Linked DNA regions of Struthio camelus. The protein of the gene in region 3 purifies or fractionates together with the protein of the main gene of each other region. This does not show direct contact. Links are inferred from orthologs where the notes say so. Each region holds a gene or a part of one and is shown on either strand. Other genes may lie near its edges.

The links.
Region 1: the proteins of DNAJB11 (region 3) and DNAJC3 purify together in Homo sapiens (affinity purification with mass spectrometry; 3 studies listed by BioGRID and IntAct, with this or other methods). This does not show direct contact. The link is inferred for Struthio camelus from reciprocal best matches to the Homo sapiens genes DNAJB11 and DNAJC3.
Region 2: the proteins of DNAJB11 (region 3) and SDF2L1 purify together in Homo sapiens (affinity purification with mass spectrometry; 3 studies listed by BioGRID and IntAct, counting the BioPlex papers as one, with this or other methods). This does not show direct contact. The link is inferred for Struthio camelus from reciprocal best matches to the Homo sapiens genes DNAJB11 and SDF2L1.
Region 4: the proteins of DNAJB11 (region 3) and tubulin alpha-1A chain purify together in Homo sapiens (affinity purification with mass spectrometry; 3 studies listed by BioGRID and IntAct, counting the BioPlex papers as one, with this or other methods). This does not show direct contact. The link is inferred for Struthio camelus from reciprocal best matches to the Homo sapiens genes DNAJB11 and TUBA1A.

What each region holds. Positions count from the first base shown.
Region 1 is NC_090942.1:166,180,794-166,187,798, reverse strand, and holds the start of DNAJC3 (dnaJ homolog subfamily C member 3), read left to right. Parts: upstream 1-3,988; 5' UTR 3,989-4,185; coding exon 4,186-4,267; intron 4,268-7,005. UniProt on the Homo sapiens protein: Involved in the unfolded protein response (UPR) during endoplasmic reticulum (ER) stress.
Region 2 is NC_090958.1:10,271,673-10,278,855, forward strand, and holds the start of SDF2L1 (stromal cell-derived factor 2-like protein 1), read left to right. Parts: upstream 1-4,167; 5' UTR 4,168-5,372; coding exon 5,373-5,541; intron 5,542-6,953; coding exon 6,954-7,150; intron 7,151-7,183.
Region 3 is NC_090950.1:4,130,442-4,138,381, forward strand, and holds the start of DNAJB11 (dnaJ homolog subfamily B member 11), read right to left. Parts: upstream 3,019-7,940; 5' UTR 2,904-3,018; coding exon 2,722-2,903; intron 2,484-2,721; coding exon 2,327-2,483; intron 799-2,326; coding exon 701-798; intron 1-700. Other genes in the region: TBCCD1 (TBCC domain-containing protein 1), read left to right, coding at 3,338-3,694, 3,812-3,961, 5,764-6,130, 7,106-7,292, 7,422-7,919. UniProt on the Homo sapiens protein: As a co-chaperone for HSPA5 it is required for proper folding, trafficking or degradation of proteins.
Region 4 is NC_090969.1:906,423-913,396, reverse strand, and holds the start of tubulin alpha-1A chain, read right to left. Parts: upstream 3,009-6,974; 5' UTR 2,686-3,008; coding exon 2,683-2,685; intron 1,099-2,682; coding exon 876-1,098; intron 796-875; coding exon 647-795; intron 1-646. UniProt on the Homo sapiens protein: Tubulin is the major constituent of microtubules, a cylinder consisting of laterally associated linear protofilaments composed of alpha- and beta-tubulin heterodimers.

The DNA.
Region 1 (7,005 bases), on a different chromosome or scaffold from region 3:
CATGGGATGCAGGCAGCTGCCACTGCATACAAAGATAGCAGGCATAGGCTGGCAGCGCTGAGGTGTGCGTTGGAGCAGGCAGAGGTAAGGCTGCACACGTACACACTTTAACCGTGCAGTCCAAATCCCCAGAAGCGTGAACTTTGCAGACCTTGGTGTTTTGGCAGGACATAAGGTAGGAATGGACGCCTTAACTGATAACGTAGTGCTTTGTCACTGATATTTTTCACCTTTTTTAAAATTGAAGAGACGTGTTCGATTAAGAGAAACACTTAAGTAGCTTGGAGTCATCATGTAGATTTGAAACTTCAGCTTTGGGACTTCAGCTGGGAAAGTTATTTTTAATACACTAGGCAAACCAAAAAACAGTTGCAGAGTTTCAAACAGTTTCAAAACTAGTTATGAAAATAGGCTGAATTTCATAAATGGGTTTCAGTCGAAAATAAGAGTTCATGAATGTTAAACTATTTCATATATTTTCAAAATAGAATGCTTTACTTCAGAAATACCAAAATATTTTACTGTTTGAAGCAAAGTTTTGACTTCTGATTTCAGAGTATCATTTTAAAATGCTCTACATCTTCAAAAATGAAAATACGTATTTTAAAAGAGGTGAGATTTTGTAATAAATGTAATATTTTGCTTTCTGTCAAGCCCCTTCACCCTCCCAAAATCAACAGACGTGGCTTTTAAATCAAAATGCTTGAAAAATACTGTTTCACTTCATCTTGAATTGTTTCAAATTTGAATTAGGTTTGAATTTGAGTTGTTTCTGGAATTTTCTGGAGTTTGCTGTTGCTGCCATGGCTGGTAAGAAAAGTTGCAGATATTGTATACATCTCACTGATTAAAATAAATTTAAAATAAATTTAATTGTGAAAATGAAACATTGGTGTCTAATTCCCATCTTCCAACTTCTGTCCTACATATCTCACAACACATAGCCCTGTTGATAATCAGCTATAGTAATATAGTTTAGTGACTGAAGGACCTGTATTATAGCAAGCTTAACCGAAATGAGAGCAAAAGACCTAGGTAGAGCCTATTTATAGCGATATAAACAACAGACAGCAGTTAGTCTCTTTTTGTAGTGTCAAAACTCAAGGTCATAGCGCAGATGGTTAAATCCACACTGGAAAAGTGGTTCTCCCATCACAGTTAGGACTAAGATATACTTGTATAATTTTGTTGGGACAGTATGAAGGGGAAAGCATTAACAGAGGGTAACCTTACCCTAAAGAAGACTAATTCCTCACACTCTTTAAAGTCCATAAGCTTCTCCAAGAGCACATTTACAGTACTTAAGTTCTTGGGCTGAACTGCATTCTGTAGGAGCCTTTCTGTTTCCATGTATTGCAAAAAGAGCCCAGGACAAGGAATTTCCCTAAAGTCATCTCTTACAAATGCCACCCAAAATGGGAAATCTTGGAACTTCCAAAAGATGTGGCCATGTAAACAATAACCCTATGCTATGCCTGCTAGCAGAGATGTACATTACTATCCCATTTAGCTCGGTCATCACTCCAATTTAATAACACAGCTGCGTTTCTGATAGCAATGCACATACAGGGGAATGGATAAAAACAAGGTGTAAGGCCTGAGAGATCCCTCACAAGAAGAAGCCCCGAGGATAGTAACTCTGTGTTATCGTCCTGTCTCACCGCCTCCCGTATTTTCATACAGGACTGTGGAAGTAACATAACAGTCCGATATATTGCTTATTCTCCTGTGTCAGGAAACTGATTGATATGGATGGGGTTTTTTTTGGAACAGAGATTAGTAACTAAGATGTGTTGCCAAGAATGCTAGCTCACAGGTAATTAGCGGGGTCCTTCCCAGTACCTGTGTGTTTTCACACCTAATCTGGATTTCTCACCACACCACAGTTACATTTGAGTAGGTTTCCCAGTTAATAAACAGAACCTACAGATTTAACTAAATCCACATCTGTCACCATATTCAGGTCACCATCCCTGTTAGAAGCAACGAGTGTCTTAAAAAGTCATTCCTTGCTAACTGATGCCCTCTGCTGTTACTGTATTACCAGCAGTAACCGTGTTGGAGAAAATTCCTTGGCTTTCCCTCCTTTGACCACTTTGAACATTAGCGTAGTCTTTGCAATCAACCCAGCTTCCACTCCAAAACTCAAGGCTGCTGAAGAAACTTGTTTCTGGTCCCAGTCTGCCAAATTTTTATTGATCCTTTTGAAAGACTTACTGTATTACAGCTGTGTCGGCTTGCTATTTCTCAGATTACTTCTAAAAAATGACGTTGGCACGTCATATCATTTGTTCTTTTAAGTCTTTCTCGTCTTCTGCATCTCGTTTGCTTCTGAAATTGCACAAGGGAAGATGTGTTAACGTACTTTCTTCTCCCAGGCTTATAGTTAATCTCTAAATTACACTTTTAGGCGTTATGATCATCAAGAATGTTCTGTCATGGTTCATGGTCTCTTTCAGGAATTACTGGTCAGGCATCTGTATGATGACTTCTCTAACACAGACGGACAGTGAAAAATGATTTCTCTTTGAGCACGTCCTTTTGTAGTGTTGGCATTACACACTGTTTTTATATACTACTACAGCCTACTGAAATACTGACCTCCCTTATTAGTATAAATACTGACTCCTTATTAAGCATCTACTGAGAATATTGGCTCACTTTTATCATAATACTGTTACTTTTTTTTAAGGGATATGATGCTTGGACTTTTATGCTTGGAAATCTGTTCAGATTGGTACTCCAGTATCAGCTACTGCTTTGAGTTTTCTTCAGATTCCAGATTGTTCTCTCCTAATCTTGTTATTAAAGGTCTCCATTAAGTAGACTGCTATCCTTACTATTGTTTCCAGTCATTTGGGGGGAGAGGGAGTTGCAGGTGTGAATTGCTATACTGTATTCACTTTTGTCTGGCTTTGGTGTAATACGTCTCTTTTTCTGAGGTACAGCCATAGGAATTCATTTATTGTAACAGTGCTCGCATTCTGCTCATGCTCAGTTTTTGGCTTTCGTATTTTGTCCTCTCCATAATGCTACAGAGTTGTCATGTTCTGCCTCACGCTGACATCTTTAGAGTGGCATCAATTATTCATTGCACATCTACCACTTCCATTATTCAAGTTCTTATCTCTGAATATCTCCTGCCGGTGAAATTTCAGGGTGATCCTTTTGAAGCACCATCTTCCAAACGAAACGTTCGAGAGGGATAACGTGCAGTTTTCTTTGTTTAGTCTGATCTTTCAGGAAAAGCTTGTCCTGCAAACCTTGCACATTTTCTCCGCTTGGGTGAGAAGGGCAACGTGACCATATCTTCAGAATGTAAAAAAAGAAACGTCTGTGGTCACCACATAAGATTTCTAGCGCCAAGTTTGTTATTTGCTGGGTGGAATTCTCATGAGAACAAGATTTTTTTCTTTTTTTAACATTGATGGGGTGTAATATTATATAACAGGCCCCTCATATGAATGGTTTATCCAATAATATAAAGCAGATAATTTGAAACAACAAACTGGGCACATACAAGATTACTTTTCCCGGGATAACCAAGAGCACGTCATATTTGCACTATGAAGAAGAAAGGAAAAGACATTTCCCGAAACACGTTTGCTGGCTGGTCGGCTACCTTTGCTTGTGTAGGTTTACAGCCCCAGCGGGAACTTCTAACCACAAAAACGCCGGGCTCTGCCAAAGCCGGACGACCCCTTCGCCCGCGGCCGGGTACAACCCCTAGCGCTTTTTCGGCACGCCTGGAGGACAACGGGTATGCTGATTATTTAGCTCAGTGTGAGGAGAAAACAGGCCTGTACGCCATCAAACACTGGGCAGCGAGCTGACCAAAAAACGCGGAACCCCTCACCCCTCCCTCCGCCGCCATTCCCGGTGAGGGCAATCCCGCCACCCGCGGCGTCCTCCGCCTTCCTGCGCAGGCGCCGAGCGGCCACACTCTACCACCCCCGCCCCCCCCCCCATCCCCTCTCCGCGCAGGCGCGGTGGCGGCTTCCCGGTTTACTGCCCGCGCAGGCGCGGTGGCAGCGGTGGGGCTCGGTGTTGTGCGGGCGGGCGCCTTCACGCTGCTTCCACGTTTCCCGAGGGCGAGGGGGCGGGCGGGCGCGGCGCAGCCAATCGGAGGCGCCCACGACCCACCCCGGACAAGTTGGAGCTCGTCGGCCGCGGGCGTTGGTGGAGATGGTGTCTCCTGCGGCTTCCGCCGGCCGTCTGGGCTCTGCGCTGCCTTTTCTGCTGGTGCTCTTCGACCTGCAGTACCAGGGTGAGGGCGGAGAAAGGGGGCCGCAGCGCCTCCGGGGTGGGGGAGGCCGGCCTTGCCGCCCGGGGGTCGCGGGTGGGGCGCGCCGCCTTGTGCGGAGGCCGCGGGGGGCGCTGCCTTGGTTCCTGCGGGCTGCCGTTAACGGTCGCGGCGGCCGAGGGGCGCCTGGGTTGCTGCCCTTCCCCCCCCCCCCCCCCGCGGCCTGGGGGGAGCCGCCATGGCAGGCGGGCCGGGCCAAGGGGCTGGGGCAGAGGCAAAGCAGAGCGGAGCAGCGGCCTGCCCCAGGGCAGCTGGTGGGACCAGGCCGGCGGGAGGTCCCCGGGTGGCGTCGGGGCAGTCCCTGCAGGGCGTCCGGAAAGCAAATATTTTTGGAAAGGGTGGGAGTTAAAAAGGCGACGCAGAACTGCCACCTCATCAGAGCTAATGCGAAAGGTGTGCAATGAATGTTGGTGCCGCTGCTGGTAGCTTACTGCCTTTTACTGAAACTTTAGTCAGTGCTGCTTGAGGTAGTTCGGTGTGTGTTTCATTTTCTTTGGCCTGCTAATAGGGAGCTAAGGGGAAATGCTGTGGTGGCCTGCAGCACAGCTCTGCAGCACCATTGAGCTGTTCTGTACTGGCCTCAAGCCTCACTTTTATATCACTTGTATGTAATTTTCAAGTTAGAAGGTTTTTTTCCTTTGGTTTCCGTAACCCACAACGGTTATTAGGGCCTGACCTGCAAGTTTGCTGTGGCTTCTCACTGTCTTCCATTTGTTTATGTTTTTTTGCATCACTGTTGGTGTTTGAAGTTGGTCAGAGTACCACGTGCAACCTATCTGCTTTCAGAGTATGCTGTCAGCAACACCTGTGTAGTCAAACACATTCTCAAGCTCCTGTTAAATTTATAACTTGGTTATGCAATTGTGCATTTATTCAGAAACACGGTTGCACCTGAGAAACGTCCTGTCACTGGTAGAGGTTGATTGAGATAGAACTGAGACTGTCACTACTCAGAATAAGTCTATGGACTTGCAGCTAACCTGGCTTGACATTAGAAATTCAGTCGGAAGATGTACTAGATGAAAATTTCAGCTCACCAAGTGGCAATAGGTACATAGTGTAGCAAAGATGCTCTGTAGTATATGACTATGTGCTGTGGTGTTGAGTTGCTTTTTTGGATATGTATTCTGCTATTGTTGGAGGAAAAACCTAACTGAGTTCAAAGTATGTGTGTGTGTATATGTATATATAAATACATATATAGAACTCTGGCAGTGATGTTCCTGCTGAGGATTCTTTATTCAGAAGTGCTGGCCTAGTCTGATTATATTCTCTGTAAATGAATAATTTAATGAGTCTGTGAATTACCAAAGCCACGTTTCCTAGCTTGGGGTATATTCTCTTAACTGAACTCTGATAGTTTACTCTCTTTCAAAATATATTTATTAATAGGGTAAGAGGTGATGGTTCTTGATGTTATTTACTTCCTTATCTTATTTCACGAACTCATTTCCCAGGAAATTGAGTTAAGGGATGTAGATTTTGTTGTTGTTTCAAGTATCTAGATTCTTTTTTTCCAGCATTAGGGGGTTTTAAACTCAAAGGCCTTAAAAGGCACATTTATGTTTGTCTTGCTGCCTTGATTGTAGAAGTCTTCATTGTGTCATCTGAATCATGAATCTTTGGGACGAGTGAGCTTGAATTAGCTTTGTGTCTTAAGGGTCAACATTTATGAAAACTAATTTATTTCTGGCTAGTGCATGAGTTCAGTAAAAGAGCTGGAATAGTTGTTGGTGTGGCAAGTTGCAGTTCACCCATTGCTGTTGTGTCCTGAATTCCTCCTCCTGGATTACCTTGGTTTCTGCCTGGTGAATAAGCTTTCATTTGATGTGAGTCACCTCTGGGAGAGTCAGTTTTCATGGATGGGTTGTCCAGCCTCATTGCAACAGAGAAATGAGCTTTCAGTGTACAGAGCTCAACTCATTGTCAGACTGCTAACCTTATTTAAAGTGTTTCTTCCATATCCTTCTATCCGGAGTTTGGGAAATCTTTTTTTTTTTTTCCCCCCACCCCAAACTGTAATGGATACTAATGTGAGGAAGAAACTAGTTTCCTGGGAAGGAGGAGATGTGTTTGTGGTATGTATTTTTGATTGTTTGTTTGCTGACCTTTGTTATATTTATCAACTTTCTTTGGGAACTGAGGGAGTAACAACTTTGTGGACTGAAATCGCATGCAGCTTAATTGGGTGGGGGGAGCTGCTGTACTCTGAGACTTCTTATGAGCCCTTTCATACTACTCCTGAAACTTTGTGATTGTTCATCTACTTACTTTGTTTGGTGTTGGTCTTAAAACACACACAGACACAAGCAAAGCCCAAACCTATTTAAAAATAGCTGCAATCTTGCAACTTGAGGTAAGCGCAGGGTAGTTCTAATCAAAAAGCTTCACGCAGCGAAGACCCCCCCCCCTTCCCCCCCACCATGATAAAACAATTATTAAACTTTCAGGTAAAAAAAAGAAAAGAAAAGAAAAAAAGGAAGCTTGGAAGGAAATTTTAAATGGCCACAATTGAGATTAACGGCATGTATGTTTCTCCTTTGTCTATGACTTCGTATCAATTTTTTCTGGTACACGATTATAATTTCTTTTGTTTATTTTCATGGGCTTCTTGCCAAGCTCAGGGACAAGATTTCTAAAAAGTGTTTTGTAGGGGAGAGTTCTGTAGGAAACATGAGAGAAATGTGTAGTCGAATGTGAAA
Region 2 (7,183 bases), on a different chromosome or scaffold from region 3:
TAATGACTGCCCAACTCACTGTACGGGAGTCACATCTCCACTGGAAAAATGGGTATGGATTCTCGCATCAAAAAGGGTTGATATCCCCAAATTCTGGATTATATCTGCTAGGAGACCAAAGGCTTCCTTGCATACCAGATCAATGGAGGCTACACAGTATATCAGTCACCTTCCCTTTCCTTTTTTCTGAAGTCATCTGAATTCACACTGGTACAAAATGTGTCAAAACCTGACGAGGTGCATGGCGTTAGCAAGGTGGCTTATATAGCTAAAAGGCAAAGTTTACTATGATGATCTTATTATTAACTTTACATTAAATCATGCTGTAATGTTAAAGTACCAGACTCAAACTCTCCTTGACAAATTTCAGGTAGGCAGGTCTCAGGACTTCAGTGAGACGATAGGCTTAAGCATACACAAGTGGTGTTTCTTACAAGCATAGGGCCTAAGTATGGTTTTAGATTAATCCTTAACTCACTGACTCATCCATTGCTTTACGTTAGAGTATAGCAGAAAGCAGGATTTGAGTATTACTTAGCATGTGTATTCATGCACAACCCATAGGTGAGGAAAGACCAGTCTTTCTTTACTGATGATTATTAATGGCACTGCTCATTGATAGTGAATTTTAATCCATTTTCTCTCCTTACTTTTTCAGAGAGTTATTTTCTCTCTCTCTGTTTCCTTCAGACTGTTTAATGCAGAAAGACTAAAAATTAATTTATGTTCGATACTAGCTACATTTTACACTTAAGTATTAATGACATCTAAACTTTTTAATCTTTTTTTTTTCAGTTCTATTTTGACAACAGGAAATAGTTTGCATTTCCTCTGCTTCCGAGGATCCCCCTTCCTAAAGGGTGAAGGGCTGGAGGGGCAAAAAAGAACAGCTGGGATGATACAGGTTTTCCAGAATTCAAGAGCAGATTCTTTATCTCTTGTTAAAAAGGCTTTTTATACAAGTGCAACTGAAAAATCACTTTCAGATAAACCTGGATTTACATTTGTTCCTCTCACAGAGGTACACCTTGAGACAATGTTTGGCTTTAAAAACTCAAGGACGGTGGCAAAAGACTTTCGTCACAAATTGATAGATTGGAAGCTTGAAGAGCTCTAAATTTCAAAAGCCTACATCAGAAGTCATGGGCAAAAAAGATGTTCTGATGTAGTGATGATGATCTAAGCAATAAACGATCATCAGCAAAGTACAATGAACCAAGAAACCCATTAGGCAGAATATCACTCCTCTGCCAGAGATAACTGAACTACTGCCTCCAAAATTTCCTGAAAGTCTATCGTAAAAGGTAGAGGGCTCCCCAAAGCAGGCTACCGTACAATTTTTAAGAGAAACAACATTTCTAAAAAATCTAGTACTGCAAATGAGAGCCAGGGAAAATTACCTATTTTACCAGACAGAGAAGATGACACCTCTGCAGGACCTCTGAGGACTCCTTATTGTCTCAAAAGAGTGGCAGCCGAAAGCTGTTATCTTTGTTACTGCACACCAGAGATTTCTGCAGAGTCTTACAGGGAATAATGTTCCTTCTGCAAAAGAGCTAGTGTTACCAGTGAGAACATGGGTAACTCCTCAGACGCATCATTTACATGTGGAAATTAATCTTGCAGTTCACTTACAGCAATTGGAATCTTCTCTCAGCCTCACTGAGAGCACCTGGAAAATTTCATTCGATTTAATGTACACAGATGCTAATTCTGCTGAAGCTCTAAGAGGAGATCCCCTCTTCTTGAAGAGCCAGCATCAATTGGGAGAATAGCCAAAAGACACTTGACGATGTTACTGAACACAGATTGTGAAGACTCTGAAGAACTTCCCAGAAAGTCCTCTCTTTTTCAAAGACTAGAAACAGGGTAGCAATCAGAAAACATCAACTGTTTTCCCTTAGATGTGAAATTCTACAGTTTCAACATGTATATACTTATACAGTTTTTTTTGTCAAATGTCTTCTACTTACATACTTTGCTTATTCTTATATTTTGCTTGTATCTATTGAATCAAAAAAAAAAATCTGAATAGCTAGTTTTCAGTCTCTAAGCCTTAAAAAACATGGGCTAAGTGATGAGAGACTGTAATTCCATAAATTCTTGGCAAGCCACCTTTTTGTTGTTTCAATTTCTCCTTGGGTGACAGCATTTTACCGTTGGGATTACGGTTTATTTGTATTGTGGCCATGCCTAGAGGTCACAGTTAAGACAGCTCTGTTCTAAGTCATGTGAATAGATAAAAAATATTTGAGTTGGAGTGAAGTTACAACCATCATTTCATCAGTGTGTCGTGAAAGGAGGAGACCCAGAAGTAGAAGGAACCAGAAACGTTTACAGGTCTGATTCTCTAGTACTAGTATTCCCTTGATTTCAGTATAGTTCCTCCTTATTGACATCAGAGAAAGGATCAGATGCGGAGAAAGGTCAGTAATAAAGCTGATGTTGGACTCTAAGGTTTTTGGGTCAGGTCCTAGTAAGAGCAGAACTGTGTCCTGTATGTTTTGCCTGAGGTTAGTGATAGTTTGAGAAAGAGAATCCAGGAGATGTCACTGCAGTGCTCCCCATAACCAAGGGGAAAGCTTAACGCCAACATAAAAAGAAGGAAAATACTTTTCTATAATATGTTGCTTTGGGCCAGCATAGTCTCCCTGAAATTTTCTTGTGCCATGTCTCCAGTTCCGGATCGCCCATTCCTATGCTTTACACACACAGATAGATTCCCGCTGCCAAACCCACTAAAACCTGTTTTTCGGGGGGGGGGGGAAGGGGGCAGGTTATACCTACAAGTGCAACTGAGCAGAAACTGTAGGTGCTTTCATTCCTTGAAAATCCTTTGCTTGTGAAAGGACTGCAGGATTAAGTGATCGAAGGCAGAACGCATTCTAGTTATATCCTACACTCTCCCCTTTTACTGTGCTGTTGGATTATTTTATTCCTGTGCATAAACAAGAACCACAATGAAATTCCTATGCAAGAAGCTATTGTTTCCATTCATTATGTGCCCCATCACATAATTTTGGAGCCAAGTTTACCTGCAGCTTTCAACAGTCTACTAAAAACAATAGCGGGCCCTGCAGCAATGAGGTGGCTGCTAATTGCCATGGGTGTTTAGCATTGATGGGGTTCTCTGTTGGCAACCGTTCTAACCCAATTATGTTTCTCAAGTACAACTGAAAAGCATTGTAGGGAGCACCATGTAAATGGCACTGAATGCACTGGGAGCAAGTGACCTCCCAGAAAGATGGACAGGTACCAGCTAAAGCCCCTTATGATTGATTTTCCATGGCTAAAATAGCAACTACAGACATCTGGGTTTGCCCGGTTTATAGAAACACCAGTAAATGCAAGCTATTGTCTTAGTTACAAGAAGAGGGAGGTTTCTTAGAACGACATAGAAATATGATGTTCGGTTATCAATGTGTGATCTTTTGCTTTTCTTTGAGCAGACATTTACATTTCAGGAACTAGAAAATTAGTTTATAGTCATCAGAAAAACACACCGAGTCTTGTGTGCGCATGTGTATATGTGCATGTATGTGAGCTTAGGACTCAGGCTTGTTTTAATGCAGGCCTGCCATTTAAGTGAGAGATGATTCTTAGATGTAGGCACAGATACATCAAATGGGTCAAAGCTAGCATGGTTATTCGAGTGAGTGACATGTGGCTAGTAAAAAGCCTCACAGACTCAGGACTGGTGGAAAAGATAAGAGTCAGCTGAGCATCTTACAATGTTTCCACTAGGCAGCAGACTAATGTGCTTTCTAAATCATCCTATAATAGAAAGTGCAGTGTTGCAGTTCTTTGCTGTTGCACGTTGTAGAATACCATTCTTACGACTTAAGTCCCAAGACAGGTGCCCTTCCTACTTGTTTCCTTGCTGCTAGGAAGGTCAAAAGCTTTTGCTCTGTTAAATTACGTTGTATTCCTGAGAGCGTTACACCAAACTCATACCAGACTGTCCATGACGTGACATATGGGGCAATCAAATGAGCAGTTTCAGAGGCAGAGCTAACGGGCCATGCTAGAGATACTGTGTCATCCTTTGTCTGTGATTGTCTCCTGTTGATAAAGGAGACTTTTTTTTTTTTTAAGGAAAAAAAAAAGATAATATTTTTCAGTCTGCAAAACTAAACAATGAATGGAAGAAATGTGTATGTTAATTTATGCAGCTTTCTTTTATACAGAATGCCAGTGTACACTGCATATCAAGCTTAATATTTTTGTTACAAGAACCTCACAAAGGAGACTGAATCACAGAAGGTGAACTTTGTGCTCTGAAAGCACAGACATTCTCATTGCAGCTTAATGACAGAGTAATCGCTGTTAGCTCTTCTTGGCGTAGTATTCATGCCCTGTCATGAGACGCTCTAATACCATCCAGAAAGGATTGGACCAGTGGTATTTTCTCATGAAAGCCAATTCACCACCATGAATTTGCTTTGTTTTTCAGCATTTTGTTACACTAGCATTTTGAATGGCACTGGCTGTGCTTTTCAGAGACCCAAAAATGGGGGTACGTTTACACTTCAAGAGCAGGGACGGCAGGGAAGGGCAGATCTGTGCCAAGTAACACCCCAGCTGCTCGCTCTGGGCCCGCAGCGGCCGGAAGGCCAGGGCACGGGCTGGTTTACCTATCGGCGCCGACACCAGCTCTCCGGCGCTGCGTCCAGGCTCGTTACCTTAGAGCTAGCTCCTGTCTGCCAGCGCTCTCCCCCTAGCGAAGACACCCGGTTTTCCCCAGGCTCTGGCGATAATTCACTGATCAGTCCTCTCTGCAGTGTGTTTTCGTACGCGGCCCGTAACAGCTAGTCAGAACGGCCCAGCTTCTCTTTTTCTTACAACTCCAGAGTAGGCGTCAGATGAGACAACTGCTGCACCAAACCCGGCCTGCTTTCCTCTGAAATAAACCTGTTTTCGGCAACAGAAAGCTCGCAACGAGAGAGGGAGGCGCGTTCCTGTCAGCGCCACTCCCGGGGCGCTGCGGGCCGGGCCGCTCCGCTCCGGCCGCGCGGGAAGGTGGCGGGGAACCGCGGCCCAGCCGGGCGCTGACCCGGCCTCGGGCCCGCCCGCGCCATCGCTGACGGGAAGCGAGCCGCCGCTTTCCTCCGCATCCTTCCCTGGGAGGTGCCACGCCGCTTGCTCTGATTGGCCACCTCTTCTCCCCCGGCCCAATGAGCTCCTCCCGCCGGGGGTCTGCCGGTGGTGAGGTCACTAGGGTATAGCCCAATGCGGGTGGGAGCCGGAGCAGAGGGCGGGCGGGGATTGGCCGGCCGCGGTGCTGGCAGCGGGTGATTGGCTGGCGTGGCGGAGGGGGTGTGGAAGCGGGCTCCGCTGCTGGGGGGCGGCGGTGCCGGCCGGGCTGAGGAGCGATGCGGGGCGGCTGCTGCCTCTTCCCGTTGCTGCTGCTGGCGCTGCTGGGCGGGCCGTGTCGCGGCAGGGAGCCCGCACCGGGTGCTGTTACCTGCGGGTCGGTGCTGAAGCTGCTCAACACCCGCCACAGCGTGCGGCTGCACTCGCACGAGGTCAAGTACGGCTCCGGTGAGCAGGGCCGGGGCGGGAGCGCCGCGCTGAGGCGACCCGGGGCAAGGAAGTGTTGGTCGGCCGGCAGTGAGGGGCAGGGAAAGGGGGGGAGGACGGCTGGGAAACGGTGAGGGGACAGACGGTGAGGGGGGGCTGTGAAATGGCGGGGGGGCTCGCGGGGAGGGAGGTTGGGGAATGGCGGGCGGGAAGGGGGGCTGTGAAATGGCGGGGGGGCAGGCGGGAAGGGGGGCTGTGAAATGGCGGGGGGGCAGGCGGGAAGGGGGGCTGTGAAATGGCGGGGGGCGGGTGGGAAGGGGGGGCTGTGAAATGGCGGGGGGGTAGGTGGGAAGGGGGGCTGTGAAATGGCGGGGGGGCAGGCGGGAAGGGGGGCTGTGAAATGGCGGGGGGGCAGGCGGGAAGGGGGGCTGTGAAATGGCGGGGGGCGGGTGGGAAGGGGGGGCTGTGAAATGGCGGGGGGGTAGGTGGGAAGGGGGGCTGTGAAATGGCGGGGGGGCAGGCGGGAAGGGGGGCTGTGAAATGGCGGGGGGCGGGTGGGAAGGGGGGGCTGTGAAATGGCGGGGGGGTAGGTGGGAAGGGGGGCTGTGAAATGGCGGGGGGCAGGCAGCGAGTGGGACAGGGAGATGGCGGGTGGCCCAGGGAAGGAGGTTTGAGGTTTCTGGGGATTGTGCCCCTGGTGCGGGGGGGAGGGAGCAGCAGGCCAGGGATTGTGGGGTGTCCTGGGGGAGAACTGGCAGGCTGGGAGGAAAGCTGCAGAGAGGAGGGTGCTGAGGCCCAGGGTGTGAGAAGGGGTTGGGGCAGGACTCCACCGCAGAGTACCAGGGGTGCTCTGCCCTCACCCGAGGTGACCCACTGGTCTGTGTGGAGGGCCTCAGCAGTCCCATCTCAGCCTCTGTGCCGGGAGGGGTGAGGCTGCTGAGTGCCTTGTTTGAGTGCTTGAAAAAAATGATAGTATTTTTGAAAAGGAAAAGATGCGAATAGTATTTCATGGATCATACCTCCAACATAACTTCTTCTCGTGTGTTTGCTGTGAACTTTAACAGTTCACATCTCCTAACACGTGCTCTGTTTAAGTTCTTCGTGCTCTGTTTAAGTTCTTCGGTCTAAAGTCATTTGGTACCTGCATTTCCATTGCAGTCAATAGGTGGACTATGACAACTAAGCACCTCTAAGCATGAAGGCATGAGACCATTAAGGCAGATTTCTTTAGATGTTCATGCCTTAACATTTTTTCTTCTCCTTATCAGTTCAGTTTGTTTATTAGATTGCAGCACGAATAAGGTTATAGAATTAGAGGCTGTCTAAAACAGGAAAATGGTTGAGACTGAAATACTCTTTTGTAGTGTGTTTCAGAACTTTTTGAACTGGGAAAAGTGGGTTAAGCCTCCTACTACTTAATTCTGTTGAAACAGGAAGTGGGCAACAGTCAGTGACAGGAGTTGAAGCTTCAGATGATGCTAACAGTTACTGGCGGATTCGTGGGAAAAGTGATGGCAGCTGCCAGCGAGGAACACCGGTGAAATGTGGGCAAGCTATACGACTTACCCACGTTAACACAGGAAAAAATTTACACACTCATCACTTCCCATCACCACTCTCCAATAACCAAGTGAGTTGTTCTAAATGTTAAGCTTTTGTATAA
Region 3 (7,940 bases):
TTTTGTGGAGTTTGAAGACTGAGGCAATATGGAAAAAAAAACAAAAAAACCCCCACCAACCCACAAACTCCACAGCAAGTCTGAATGCCTTGCTCAAAACAGACCAGCAAACAGTGGTGGTTCTCACCCAGAAGGATTACATGAGCAAAGCACCTTAATGAATTATTTTAGCAAATTTCTTCCTAGCAGGAACAAATGGACCTTAAGCAAACTAAGCAACATGTGAGTGCCTTCAGACTTTAATGACACAAACTCTGCAGTTGCTCTGTTGTAAAAGTCAGTACAGCGTTTCTTCGTAAAACAAAAAGGAACCCCAAAGCGTGCTCTTGGTCTGTGACAACAGGTTAGACATCAATCACATATCAGAGAACTCGAGAAAGATCCTACATGTTTAATGCAACACCTTACGCATTGCTCACATGAGCGCCTCAGCTTGCCAAGTGAGTAACAGCCACGCGCGGGGGAAGAGAACGCTGGCTCCTAGTCACTGCTCTTGGAGAAAGGACTAACGCGAGATACACAAATGAAAACAGCACAGGGAGATGTCCATTGTATGCGTACTTCTTCAAAACCCAGCTGCCACTTGATATCAGTGCCTCTCCCTCTCCCTCCTGGAGAGGTAAAGGGAGAAGATCAAAGACCTTAACATACAGTTAGAGCTCTGACTACACAATAGCCTAAAGGAACAAAGCCTCCTTACTGTGAGAAGATGTCTCCATGGGAACTCTGGTGCCCATCCTTCAATCCCTCTTCGCCATATGCATCATATTGCTTCCTCTTCTCCTCGTCCGACAGCACCTGGGCAAAGGGACAAGACACTCATCTACAGCTGAACCAGGTTATTTAAACAAGCCTTTGAGATGAACCTTGCCAGTTCTCTTAACTGAAGGACAAGCAGCAGCATGTAGCACATTACAGAAGTGTTGGCTAGAACTTGCTTGCTGAAGTGGACTGGAAAGTTAAATATTTAGTAGCTAAAACCTAGAATTAGCTTATTGGAACAGCAAAAGCAAAACACACAAAATACAAACAGTACAGAGTTTACCATAGTGACTTGAAAAAGAATCAAACGGGGATAATAATTCGAATCAGCCCTATGAAGCAGAACACTCCACAGAAAGCTGTGTAATACTACTCTTGTTCTTCAGGCACATACAAAACGACTATTTCTTCAAAGAGTATTGTATAACTGTGAACAACGATGGCAAGTTTGCCCACCAAGCTGTACCTGCCAAATATGGTAACTCTGCGACAGCAAGAACGCTGGCCCTCGTTCCTAAAGGGGAGCAGAAGTCAGCAAGAAGTAACTTCAGTATTAAGACAGAATTAAGTACCCCAATGCAGGTACCGTTTCTCAGTATGTGGTCTTTGCTGTGCGTCCCGAGATGCGTAAGTTCCTGGATCAGATTTAGTCTTCCTTCCCTTTCCTCCCTGACTTGACCTGCTGATTATATTTTGGAAGACTAAAACTGTCAGGCCAGCTTCCAGAAAGCTGGCGAAGAGCAGAAACAAGGGAAGAAGCAACTCTGCTAGCTAAAGGGTGATGGTTTATGTAATGCATTAATACCTAAAGTTAAGAGAATATTACATTATCAAATTATCACAGAAACGAGAAAGTTCCTAACACATTTGATTCCCTACCATAACAATTATTTTCCCAACTTTAACATGCCTAGTAAAAGGCAAGCTCAAAACCTTTCATCTCACATGAGCCAAAATTTACTCACAGCCCATCTATACATATAGACAGATTGTTCCTGTGCCAGTGCTTCCAGCTGAGGCAGCTTTCTTTCGTCCTTAACATTTATGGTTTAGTGTGGGGTAAACAAAGAACTTGAACTTTCTGCCCTTGTTTTCCTCTGGTTAAGCGAGCTATGGCTTTTGTATGCTTTCCTCCAACAAAGTAAGTTCTCTCACCACACTGGCAGCTTCTCTGCCTTTGTCCTTTATTAGATGCAGCATCTGGGACTTGATACCATTTTGTAATAGGAGAAGGAGGAGGGATCGCACCAGGTACTAGCGCTTCCTAGGAAGCCCTCCTTGAAGGTGTAAGATGGGCTCAGTTCTTTCTCGTTCCTCTGAATCTTATGGAGAGGAAACCACAGCAGAGAGCCTGTTGGCCATAAGAGGCTTCACGCCTGGAGCTTGCTTCCCCGTGAACCCCACCTGTCCGGGAAGGCCCTCGGGAGGGCGTATTAAGGTTATCTCGAGCCATCTAGAGCACACGCGACTGCACCTTGCCTCTCGCCCCTCCCTTTTGCAGCAGCTACAGCAGGCCTGGGGAGCATCCCGCTGGGCAGGGCGGCGGGGGGGCACCCGGGCTCACCTCGTAGGCAGCGCCCAGGTCCTGGAACTTCTCCTGCGCCCGGGGGTCGTCGGGGTTCCTGTCGGGATGCAGCTGCAGCGCCAGTTTCCGGTAGGCCTTCTTGATGTCCTTGATGGAGGCGCCGCGGGACACCCCCAGGATCTTGTAGAAGTCCCTCCTGGTGGGGGCGGGGGGGGGGGGGAAACGGGGCAGAGCGGGGGGGACCCGTCAGCGCCGCCGCCCCAGGGCCGGTCGCCCCGGCGGGGGAGGGCGCATGCGCACAGAGCCGCGCGTGGGGGGGGGAGCGCGTGGGGGGGGGGGCGCGAGCACAGGCCCGCGTTGTGGGGGGGGGGGGCGCGCGCGGGCCCTGCGCTGAGGGGAGCGGGGAGGGCCGGGCCCGGCCCCGGCGGACTCACCCGGCGGCGGCCTCGCCGCACACGCAGAGCAGCAGCAGGCAGAGGCGGCCGAGCGAGGCGGGGGACATGGCAGCGCGGCCTGGCTGCCGGCGCGCCCGCCCGCAGCCGCTGGGAGCCGGGGGGGAAGGCGGCGCTCTCCGGCCGCGGCCCGCAGCACCGCAGCCGCCCGCTCCGCTCACCATAGATATGAAGCGGAGCCCGGCGACGGCCGCTGGCCAATAGGAGCGCGGCACAGCGCGCCCACCCCGCGCGCCGCCGGCCTATCGGCCGCGCACACTTCACCACCGGCTCGGCGCCGCCGGCCAATCGGCTGCCAAGACATCAGCGCCCGGCCGGCCGGCCCAATGGCGGCTGGCAACGTCACGCCGCCCCTGCCCTATCGCAGCTCCGGAGGGCAGAGCGTCGGCGCGGGCGGAAGTTGCCAAGCCTAGAGCGAGGCCGGCGAAGGGCCGTAACCAATCAGAGGTGGCGGCGTTCGTTCCGCCTCCGCGCCCGCTCGGCTCGCCAATGGCAGCCGGCTCCTCGGCGAAGAGGGCGGAGCGCCGCGCGCAGTCCTCCGGGCGGTGGGCGCTCTGGGCGGCGCCTCGCCTTGCCTCGCCTGACGGGGGAGGCCGCCATGGAGGCGGCTGCGGCGGCGGCGGCGGCGGGCCCGGCGCGGCTGTGGGTGAAGACGGAGCCGTTCCTGCTGGGGGCCGTGCGGGCGCCGCCGCCCGCCAAGCTGGGCCGCCACTACCTGCGCAAGATGGCGGCGTACGCTCGGGCGCGGGCCGCCGACGGCTGCTTCCCGCGCCTGGCCTGGCCGCGCTGGCGCCACATCGCCTGCGGGAAGCTGCAGCTGGGCCGCGGCCTGGCCTGGCTCTACTTCGAGCTCTTCGACAGCCTGGCCCGGCGCGACCCGCCGCGCCGCCTCCAGCGGGCCGAGGCGGAGGCGGCCTGCGCCAGCGCCGACCAGCTGGAGCGGCAGCGCAGCAAGGCAGGGGGGGTCCCCTCTCCCAGCCCCCTCCCCGGGCCGGGCCGGGCGGTCGTGGGTGACGGGCAGCGCCTCTTAACCTGTGTTTTGTTTCTCCCTCCCCCCCTCCTCCTTGGGTAGTTGTCAGTAGACACCCTGCAGTTCCTGCTGTTTTTGTACATCCAGCAACTGAACAAGGTTTCTCTGAGAACGTCCCTGATCGGCGAGGAGTGGCCCAGCCCCAGGACCAAGTCTCCCGACCTGACTGGGAAGTCTGCCAGTCAAAATAAGGTATTTGGGGGCGTGGGGGGTCTCCTGAGGTTGCTCCGTGAGAAAACGGCCGCCTCCCCTGGAGGCGGGCTGAAGAGCATCCCGTTTGTTGCTGGGAGAGCGTACCCTGCCTGAAGCATTTCTGCAAGTCAAATTTGAGCTACGTCTCAGCACGGTAAATGAGATGAAACCGATATGTTCTCTATCGCTTTAACTTATGAAACGGTGACACTTGCCTGCTGAAATTTCCTGTGGTCTGAGACTAACTGAAAATTTTTTCTGAGTCTTCCTAATTCTCCTTCTAAGCAGCAACAGCTTCTTTGGTTTTTCTGTTAGAGGGGTGTAGCCAGCCAAGCAGGAGGCTTTTCTTACGTTGAAGGCTGCTTTCCCACGATCTGCGTTAAATTATTAGAATTCCAAAGCGGTGTTTAGGAAAATGTCATTAAGTTGTATTGCAGAGAGATGGAGTGGCTGGTCAACTGTAGATCCGTCACGTGAAGATGATGATGTCCCACATCAAGTGTTCCTAAATAGGAGAAGTAAGCTGGATACGTCAGCTGCAGTTCATGGTCTGCTCTGTATTTGAGAGTGAATTACAAATTGCCAACAACGTTATAAAGGCCAGGTGCAAACTTCAGCAGGCTTCTGTCCTGGCTATGACATGAGGAGCCATATGACCCAGTGAACTGTAATTTGGGACAAGCTGAAATGATTAAAAGGAGGGACCGGGTAGCTTTAAACTAAAAGACTTAACACATGAAAAAGAGATGAGAATAACTAATGTAAAGCTGTGAGCTGCAGGCTCCAGGGTGGCATCCAACATCTTTTGGAAGTTGATGCTTTCTTTTAATCGCTGTTCAAGTTTGACTGTCAGATGAACAAAAAATAGGTGCATCCTGGCTGTCAGGGTAGCCATGCTAAACGTTTTGATCCTGATGGTGTGGGGGGCTGTCTCCACTGGCATTACTTTTTCTTGTGAGATAGGAAGAGATGCCTCTAGTTTCAGTGATCCCTGATATGAGCACTGCGAGAAATTAGCCCCTTTGAAATGGTTTGGTGAGGCTTATCCAGTGTGAGCTGCTCTCTGTCAGCCTGTGGCAAGACGCTGTCCAACGCTGCTTGTTGCTGCCTTTTAACTGCAGCCCTTATCGGTGGGTGAGGAGAATGTATGATCGTAGCTGGCGTTACTTGTTCTGCAGTTTGCAGGCCAGCAAAAGTTGCCTTTGTTGATGGCTGCCATAATTCCAGTCTCCCACTCTTTTTTGGTATGGAGCCTTTTAAAATTGGAGCTAACGATTCTTCCAGAGGCTGTTTAGTTTATTAGCGCGCTCACCTCTGAAGAAATGACCCTCTGTTTTTCCCTGCAGCTCCTCTGAAGGAGGTACTTTGTCATATCTGAAGGTCTGAAAGAGATGCAGTGAGCTTCCAACAGAGCAGTTGCAAGACCCTGACTGTCAGTTATTGATTTGTTTCCAACCTTCACTTGCCAGCGCTGTCTGGCCACAATTGTGCGGGAAGGATTGTAGGGGAATCTGTTTCCTGTTTTGGCTCTTTAGAGTGAAATGTTTAGTACCTGGAATTGGAATAAAACAGTTTTCTGGTTTCGAGGGTTGCTGGATGGATCCAGTTTCTTATGCATGTTTTGGAAGAGCAGACCAACAGAAGCGGTGGGCAGAAAGAGAGAACACCGTGTTCCACTTGAATTCCTTCTTTTAGAACTACTGTGATTCTAGTGTAAGCAGGGATGTCTTGTATAATGTTGATGAAGCCTGTCCGCTTTGTGAGAGCTCACCTCGTTCTTGTTTGTTTTTCTGCCTTCTAAGAACTGGAACGATCAAGACCACCAGGCCTTCGTGCAGAGCCACCTCTCGGATATGCTGGAACTGCTGCTGGAGCCAGACCAGCTCACTGCCTCTTCCCATTCTGCTCACAGTAGTTTGGTCTCTTATGAAGCTGTTCGTGCCCTCAGCTTTCTTATTGAAGGGACTGTGAACAAATCTAGAACTGTCCATCCTCTGCATGAGCTTGCCCTCTGGCAGCCCTTTCATGGGAAAAATGGCTACTCGAAGATCTCCAAAGCCTTCTCTTTCACCAAGCTAGAGAGTTGGATAAGGTCTTGCCTGACAACAAACCCCTTTGGAATGACTGCGTGCCTCAAGTCTGGGAAGAAGCTTGCCTGGGCGCAGCAAGGTATCTGTAGGCCTTGCCTTTACTTCCAGAGGTAACTTTCAGCCTCAGCTCCTTGTCCTGAGCAAGGATCTGGCAGTGGAGTGTGGATTTACCTCCTTTTCCTCCAGCTGACAGTGGAGATGGGGAAGGTAACAGCTTAGAGGCGAGTCTGGGAGGAACTAGAGGGTGCCGTATGACACGTATTTGCATCTTTCTGGTTCTTTGATCACTTTTATGAGCAAATGTCAATGACTTTATTTTCACATGCTCTTCTGAGGGAGATCGGTATTACTATCCTCATCTTTCAGGTACCACTGGAGGCGAAGAATAGAACATGTGATTTGTCTGTGGAGGCTTGGGTGGTTGTGGCAAAGCTGAGAACTGATCTGGATCTCTTTGAATGGACTCATCCCATGCCCGCAAAGACATTGCAGTGGAGCCGGACATCTTTCACCTTAGAGGAAAAAAAAATAAGATTAATGTTTTGTTTGCTCTGACTGCACACTAGTAAGATGTAAGATGGGCAATGTGAGATGGGACAGCAAAGCTGCTCAAGGGTTGTCTGTAGAAGGAGCATTTCATTGGTTTAGTATGTCTTAAAATGTGTGATCTGCACTTTCAATGTAGTGCTAAAGACTTGCCCTGAGTCTTTGTCTGGCAGGAAGATCCTTCTGTGCAGGAACAAACTCTGGAAATTGAGATGCCTAGACCAGGTCCGTCCGTCTGGTAGTTTCTGGGAGACTCTGGCTTCCCATGAATAATTCTGAAGGGCTTTTGATTCTTTGGATGTACCATGACTTCTAGAGCTGCTGACTGCTGTGTACTGCCTTCCTGCCCAGGAGTTGTTAGTGGTAGTGTGACCGGTGCATGAAGTGACACAGTTGGACAGTGCCGTCCTTGAAGTTTGGGGCTGATTTTGTGTGCTTTTCTTGTGCCATTTGAAATGATGTGAACCATCATATTCTTTCTCAGTGTCTTGATTAACTTATTTTGCAGTTGAAGGAACAACCAGAAGAGCCAAGATTGCTTGCAATACTCATGTGGTCCCTGAGGTGTTTCCCATGGTGATAATGAGCCAGGTGTACAAACAGACGTTGGCCAAGAGCTCAGACACCTTGGTGGGGGCTCATGTAAGAATTCATCGCTGCAACGAGTCTTTCATTTATCTCCTCTCTCCTCTCCGGTGAGTTTTTGTTTTCCTGAGGCACAGCTAAATGTCATTTAGCAGGTCTGTTTGAGATGTGCTAACTTGTTAGAAGAGTCTGGGTTTCGGACTTTCTGGCTCACTGTGTCTTCTCTTGCTCTGTTACAGATCTGTGACCATTGAGAAGTGCCGGAATAGCACTTTTGTCCTCGGCCCTGTGCAGACATCTGTTCACGTCCACAGCTGTGACAATGTCAAGGTCATTTCTGTTTGCCATCGTTTGTCTCTCTCTTCCACCACTGGCTGTACTTTCTACATTCTTACACCTACCCAACCTCTCATCCTCTCGGGTAACCAAGCAGTCAGCTTCGCTCCTTTCCACACCCATTATCCAATGCTTGAAGACCACATGGCTCAGGTGGGCCTGGCCACTCTGCCGAACTACTGGGACAGTCCCATGCTGGTGTGCAAAGAGAGCAGTGACACAAGCGTCTTCCGCCTCCTGCCACCCTCGGAGTTCTACACCTTTGTAATTCCTTTCGAGATGGAAGGAGACACAACGGAAACGCCGGGCGGACTGCCCCACGCGTATCAGAAGGCACTGAGTCAGCGAGAGCAGAAGGTACAGATCTGGCAGAAAACTGTGAAGGAGGCAGGCCTGACCAAGTGAGTGTTGCATCCTGGCAG
Region 4 (6,974 bases), on a different chromosome or scaffold from region 3:
CTTCTCTGTGGCCTCGCTATGACATTGTGGGGACTTTCCAACAGCAGGGCAGAAGCCACCAGGACAGGGTGACCCTAACTCGATCTGTTGGGAGTGTCATGGGAGCAGTGAATTCCCCAGGGGAGCAGTGGGAAGCCCCTGCACAGCCTGCGGGGCTGGATTTCTGCTGTGTGTCATGTGGCCCCAGAGCTTGGCCCAGGCTGAGCCTTGCCAGCAGCAGCAACGTGAACCCAAGGGTGGCTTTTCTGGGTGCGTTTTGTGTGCAGGGCTGGGAGGAACAGGGACAGGCCGGGGCCACGGCACACAAGGAGCCGCAGCACACTCAATTGGACGCCTGTTGCCACCCAAACGCAGCTGGGCTCAGGCTGCGATGAGGAACTCAGGCGGAACAAAGAGGGAATTGCAGAGCTCAGCACCGAGGGGGGCCGGGGGCTGGCGCGGCCCCGAGCGCTCTCCAGCTGCGACGCACGCTGCTGCCGGGAGCCGCCGGCCAATGGGAGCCGCCCCGCCAAGCCGGGCGGCGCAGCCGGATTAACATTAATTAATATATTAAATCTAAATCCAGCCTTGCTGGTCAGGAGGGAGGGCGAGCTGAAGAGGAGTCTTTGTCCTTGTCGCCCGCCCACCAGCGCCCCCCGGCCCCTACCAGCTTGCGGATGCGGTCGAGGACCAGGTCGATGATCTCTTTGCCGATGGTGTAGTGCCCCCGGGCGTAGTTGTTGGCCGCATCCTCCTTGCCCGTGATCAGCTGCTCGGGGTGGAAGAGCTGCCGGTAGGTCCCCGTGCGCACTTCGTCTGCGGGATGAGGCCAGGCACCCCGTTAGCGCCGCCGGCGGCACCACCACCAGCACCGGCACCCCCCGCCCCGCGCTCACCGATCACCGTCGGCTCCAGGTCCACGAAGACGGCGCGGGGCACGTGCTTGCCGGCCCCCGTCTCGCTGAAGAAGGTGTTGAAGGAGTCGTCGCCGCCGCCGATGGTCTTGTCGCTGGGCATCTGCCCGTCGGGCTGGATGCCGTGCTCCAGGCAGTACAGCTCCCAGCAGGCATTGCCGATCTGCACGCCCGCTTGGCCCACGTGGATGGAGATGCACTCGCGCTGCGGGGGGGAGCGGGGGGCGTGAGCCAGCGCCCCGGCTCTGCGCCCCCCAGGTCCTGCCAGCGCCGGCTCTGCCCCCCACAACGCTGCCCTGTGCCTTGGGCTGGATGGGGCCAGCCCCTGCACCCGCTCTATTGTTCTGTGGGTGCTGGGCACTGCGGGGAGGGGAGGGGCTCTGCACCCGTGGCCATATCCAGCCCTGCTGTTTGGGAACCAGAGCCACACCCAGTGCGGTGTGGCAGTGCTCAGCACCAGGGACCCATCCTGCCCCACTGAACAGGGGCCACACCCCATGCAACATGAAGACCAGAGGGTCTCATCCTGCCTCACCCACACAATTGGACCACTGCCATCCCTAGTATATGTTGAGGGCTCAGCACCAGGGCGCTTATTCTGCCCACCCACACTCTGGTGCAATGCGCAGTGTGGGTTGCAGGCTCAGCACAGGGGTCTCATCCCACCCTGTCCTCCCCACAGACCCCACAGGGACCCCTGAGAACCAGGGCCACACCCACTGTGGGGCACTCAGCACCAGGGGCTCATCCAGCCCTGCCCACTTTTGGTGCTGTGCCCAGGGCAAGATCAGGGTGCTCAGCACCAGGAGAGGCTTATCCCACCCTGAACACCCCATTAAACAGGGGGGCCACACCCAGTGCAGACTGAGCACTCCACACCAGGAACGGGATCCATCCTGCTCCGTTAACAGGGGAGCCACACCCAGTTAATTGAGCTGAGCACTCCCACACCGGGTCCCATCCTGCCCTATTAATGGGGGAGCCACACCCAGTGAACCGAGCTGAGCACTCCGCACCGGGAACGGGTCCCATCCTGCTGCATTAACGGGGGAGCCACACCCAGTGAACCGAGCTGAGCACTCCACACCGGGAACGGGTCCCATCCTGCTGCATTAACGGGGGAGCCACACCCAGTGAACCGAGCTGAGCACTCCACACCGGGAACGGGTCCCATCCTGCTGCATTAACGGGGGAGCCACACCCAGTGAACCGAGCTGAGCACTCCGCACCGGGAACGGGTCCCATCCTGCTGCATTAACGGGGGAGCCACACCCAGTGAACCGAGCTGAGCACTCCGCACCGGGAACGGGTCCCATCCTGCCCTATTAACGGGGGAGCCACGCCCGGTGAACCGAGCTGAGCGCTCCGCACCGGGAACGGGTCCCATCCTGCCCTATTAACGGGGGAGCCACGCCCGGTGAACCGAGCTGAGCGCTCCGCACCGGGAACGGGTCCCATCCTGCCCTATTAACGGGGGAACCACACCCGGTGAACCGAGCTGAGCGCTCCGCACCGGGAACGGGTCCCATCCTGCCCTATTAACGGGGGAGCCACGCCCGGTGAACCGAGCTGAGCGCTCCGCACCGGGAACGGGTCCCATCCTGCCCTATTAACGGGGGAGCCACGCCCGGTGAACCGAGCTGAGCGCTCCGCACCGGCTCCCATCCTGCTGCAATAACGGGGGCGGGGAGCGGGGCCCCCGCCGCCGCGGCGCCGGGCGGTGCAGCGGGCGCAGAGGCGGCTCCCCGCCGCCACCGCCGCCCCCCGGGGCCCCGCGGCCGGTGCTCACCATGGCGGCTGCTCGGCTCCGGGGCTTTCTTACAGCACGACTCCAAGGCGGTCGATGTAAGAGACGCGGCGGCGGGCGGCCCCGGCGCGGCGCTTTATAGGGCGGGCGGCGGGGCCGGGCGGGGCGGCGGCGGCGGCGGCCATTGGCGCGGGGCCGCGATGAGGTAATGCCCCCCCGGCGCCGCCAGACAAAGGAGCGGCGGGGGGGGGCTCGGCTCTTTGTGCCCCCTCGCCTCGTCGTTCTCCAGCCCCGGGGGGGATGCGGCCGTGCTCGGGCTCCCTTCCCGGCCGAGCCCCGGTTCCCAGCCCCGGGCCCGGTCACGCCCTGGTCCCCATCCCCACCGTGCCGCGGTCCCTGTTCCTGGCTGTGTCCTGGTGCCCCGGTTCCCAGCGGTGCTCCGGTCCCCGTGACCAGTCCTGTCCCCAGTCCTGGCCATGCCGTGGTCCCCATCCCCACCGTGCCCTGGTCCCCATTCCTCACTGTGTCCCCATACCCGGCCACGCCCTGGTCCCCATCCCCACCGTGCCGCGGTCCCTGTTCCCGGCTGTGCTCTGGTCCCCATCCCCGCCGTGCCACGGTCCCCGTTCCCAGCACTGTCCCCGTTCCCGGCCACACCCTGGTCCCCATCCCCGCCGTGCCGCGGTCCCCGTTCCCAGCACTGTCCCCGTTCCCGGCCACACCCTGGTCCCCATCCCCGCCGTGCCGCGGTCCCCGTTCCCGGCCGTGTCCCCGTTCCTGGCCACACCCTGGTCCCCATCCCCGCCGTGCCACGGTCCCCGTTCCCAGCACTGTCCCCGTTCCCGGCCACACCCTGGTCCCCATCCCCGCCGTGCCACGGTCCCCGTTCCTCGCTGTGTCCCCGTTCCTGGCCACACCCTGGTCCCCATCCCCGCCGTGCCGCGGTCCCCGTTCCCGGCCGTGTCCCCGTTCCCGGCCACGCCCTGGTCCCCATCCCCGCCGTGTCCCCGTTCCCGGCCGTGTCCCCGTTCCCGGCCACGCCCTGGTCCCCGTTCCTGGCCGTGCCCCTGTTCCTGGCCGTGCCCCGGTGCCCTGGTCCCCAGCCCCATCCTGCTGCCCGTTCCCGCCGTGCCCTGCTCCTGGTGAGAGCCGCGCCGTGGCCCTGTTCCCTTGCCAGCCCTCTCTGCACCCCAGTCAGCCCCTTGGGCCCCACCGGAGAGCCCCGCGGCCGCTCCTGGAGCGGCTCCCGGGGGGTTTGGGCAGCGCCCTGCAGATGGGCTGGCTGCGGCCGGGGGGTTCCCAGCCCCAGCGGCAGCTGCTTCCAGGAGCAGCCGGTGCCTGGGACCCAGCGGGGGGCCAGCGGGGGGACGGGGGGGCCACGTCTCCCCCCTCCATCTGCTGCAGCCCCTGCGCAGCCCCCCTGCCCCGATCTGGTGCACCCCCCCGGATGCTCCCGGGGCCACGGTCCCGGTTTGGCCTTGGTGCAGCCGCCTGCAGAGCCCACAGCAGCTGGGGGTGGGGGGGGGGCTGGGGAGGGTCCCCCAGGCCGGTTCAGGGGCGGGAGAGGGCTCCGCGGGGTCTCTGCGGGCCGGACGCGCAGGGCAGGGCTGGCGCCAGCTGCTGCAGGTGGAGCCGCCAGGATCGCCGCTCCCCCTCTGCTGAGAAATCGCATTTTTCTCCGCATTTCCCACATTATGCAGATTTTTGGGGCAGCTCCAGATCCCCGCTCCCACGTCCCCGCTGTCCCTGCACCCCTGGCCGCCAGCAGCCCTGCTCAGCCCCTGGGGCGCAGCGCCGCGTGCCCAGCTGCGGCACAAAGCAGCCAGAGGGGGGGCTGGAGCCCGGCTCTCCCGGCGCCGCGGGGCTGCGAGCCCAGAGACAAAGAGGGACCCCGCTTTGGGCGCCTTCCGCCAGAACAAAGGGCTGCGCAGCCCCCCGCGCCGGAGGGGTTTAACGGCCCCCCGGCCGGCGGAGGGAGGCCGCGGAGCGGGATCCGCTTGGGTTCGCGAGCGGGGAGGGCGCGCCGGGGCGAGGGGCGAAGCTGGGCGCCGGGGTGCTGCCGGGCCGGGCGGCGGGGTCGCATCTCGTCGGGAGGCACTGGGAGACTTTCTGCCCTTTGTTGTTCATGCCGGGGAAGGCGGTCGGCGCTCCGGGGCGGACACGCCGCCGCGGCCCGGCCGCAGGGCCCTGCCGCTGGGCTCGCCTCGTCGCCGGGCCTGGGCAGGGGACAGCCGGGAAATTCGGCTCCCTCCGGGCCTGTCTGGTTCCCAGAGCTGTTGATTGCAAATGGGCTTTTCGGCGCCTGAATAAGATCGTGGTCGCTTGGACGCGGCCCCACATGGGCCCAATACTGGGAAACGCCTCCTGCCTTTGTCTCCCGGCTGCTCTCGGATCCTCGGCTCCGGCGTGGGCGCCCGGGAGGGTGTCCCCGGGTGCCGGGGGTGCTCGGAGCAGCCCCCTGCCTTGGGGACCCCCCCCGGCTGGGGCAGGAGGAGCTGGCGGCTCCTTTACCCGGGTCTGCTGCCCACCCCTGCCTCGAGGTTTGGGTGGTGGGGTGCTGCGGGGACGGTGAGGGCATCACCCCCCGCCCCCGGGTGCGCAGGCGTGGGGCGAAGGGCTCCTGGTGGCACGGGGGTCCGCAGCACTGGGGGTCCCAGGCACCAGGGGGGAACCGCAGCCCCCCAACCTCCCAGACCCTTCCCATCTCGTTAGGTATGGAAGACCAGTCGTCTCCCCGCCGACCGCTGCTAGGCAACCACCGTCGGCACAGGGTTGCTAGGAGACTGGTTGCTAGGACATGGGCTAAGACCCCCCCCATATCCCCCCTCCCCGGCATCCATCACCCTGCCGGGCTCTGCCGGGGACGTGGGGAGACGGGGCTGGCATGAGCCTGCCTAGCTGGGCCCTGGTGCCCAGCCCTGCCGTGCCACCGTGGGGGGGACACCAGCCTGGGGGAGTCCCCGATGCCCAGCCCTGCCGTGCCACCGTGGGGGGGACACCAGCCTGGGGGGGTCCCTGATGCCCAGCCCTGCCGTGCCACCGTGGGGGGGACACCAGCCTGGGGGGGGGTCCCCGATGCCCAGCCCTGCCGTGCCACCGTGGGGGGGACACCAGCCTGGGGGGGTCCCCGATGCCCAGCCCTGCCGTGCCACCGTGGGGGGGACACCAGCCTGGGGAGTCCCTGATGCCTGGCCCCATTGCATCCCGGCGGGGGGGACACCAGCCCCCCCGTGCTCCCAGCCGCCCCCCCCAGGCACTTTCCTCCCCGCCTGTGCTGTGTTGACTGTTGGTAGCAACGCGGCGGCTCCTGGTGACGGTTGCTGGGCCCCCGCTGTGTTTGCAGCCCGCCGGCGTGGCCCGGGCCTGGCCGAGCCGGGAGAGGCCGCCAGCGCCCCTCGGGCCCCCCTCGCCCGGCCCCCAGGAAGCCCCCAGCCCGCGGCAGGCGCTCCGGGGGCTTCTGGCCCGTTGCTCTCCCAGCTCGCTCCCGCGGCCCCCGCCTGCGCGCCGCCCCCCCGGCCCCATCCGGGCGCGTGCCCCGGTGCAGGGCGTCCAGCTGCTCCCGCGGCCCCCGCCTCGTCCTGCCGGCTGCGGGCAGCGGGGTGCGCTGGCGACCTTGGGCACGTGGGGCCGGCTCTCGGTGTCCCGAGTTTATCAGTGCTCATGCATTCGGCGGGCTCGCTATCTGTCCTTGGGAGACTTTCACACGCTCCCTCTCTCAGCATGCGTCTTTCCTCCCCTCAGCTGCTGTTTCATGGTGCTTATTTCCCCGACGCTTGCACAGAGGGGGCCTTTTGGGGCGCGGGAGGCGCTCGCGGCCCCAGAAACGGGGGGCTGCCCGGGGGCTGCGGCACGCCGGGCGAGGAGACGCGATGTGGAGCGGCTGCTTGGCGGGCCAGGACGCGGCACCCAGGGCGCGCAGAGCAGGGCGGCCGGCGGCGAGCGGCGGTGCGAGGCCGCGGTGGCCCGGGGAGCGGCGCGCCTGTCAGAGCCGGTTTGCGTCTCGCAGCCCTGGCGCCGGTTCACGGGGAGACAAAGTGACTTCCTGGGGACCCATCTGCTGCTATTTTTAACCTGTTTTTCTACCGAAACCCGGCGCGGGTGACGTGACCGCGGTGTCTGCTCGTCCCCTGTAAATATCCATGCGACGGATTGAGCGAAAGGGAGACGAGGCAGCGCCGCGCTGGGCCCCCGAGCCCCGTGCCGCTGGTCGGGGCCGGGGGCCGGGGCCTCGCCGCCCGCCCCCGCAGCCCGGCGCTGCCCCGTGGAGCCCTCCGGCACTGCCCGGCCCCACGGAGCTGCGGCGCAGGGGCCGCGCGGGCAGGGCAGCGCAGAGC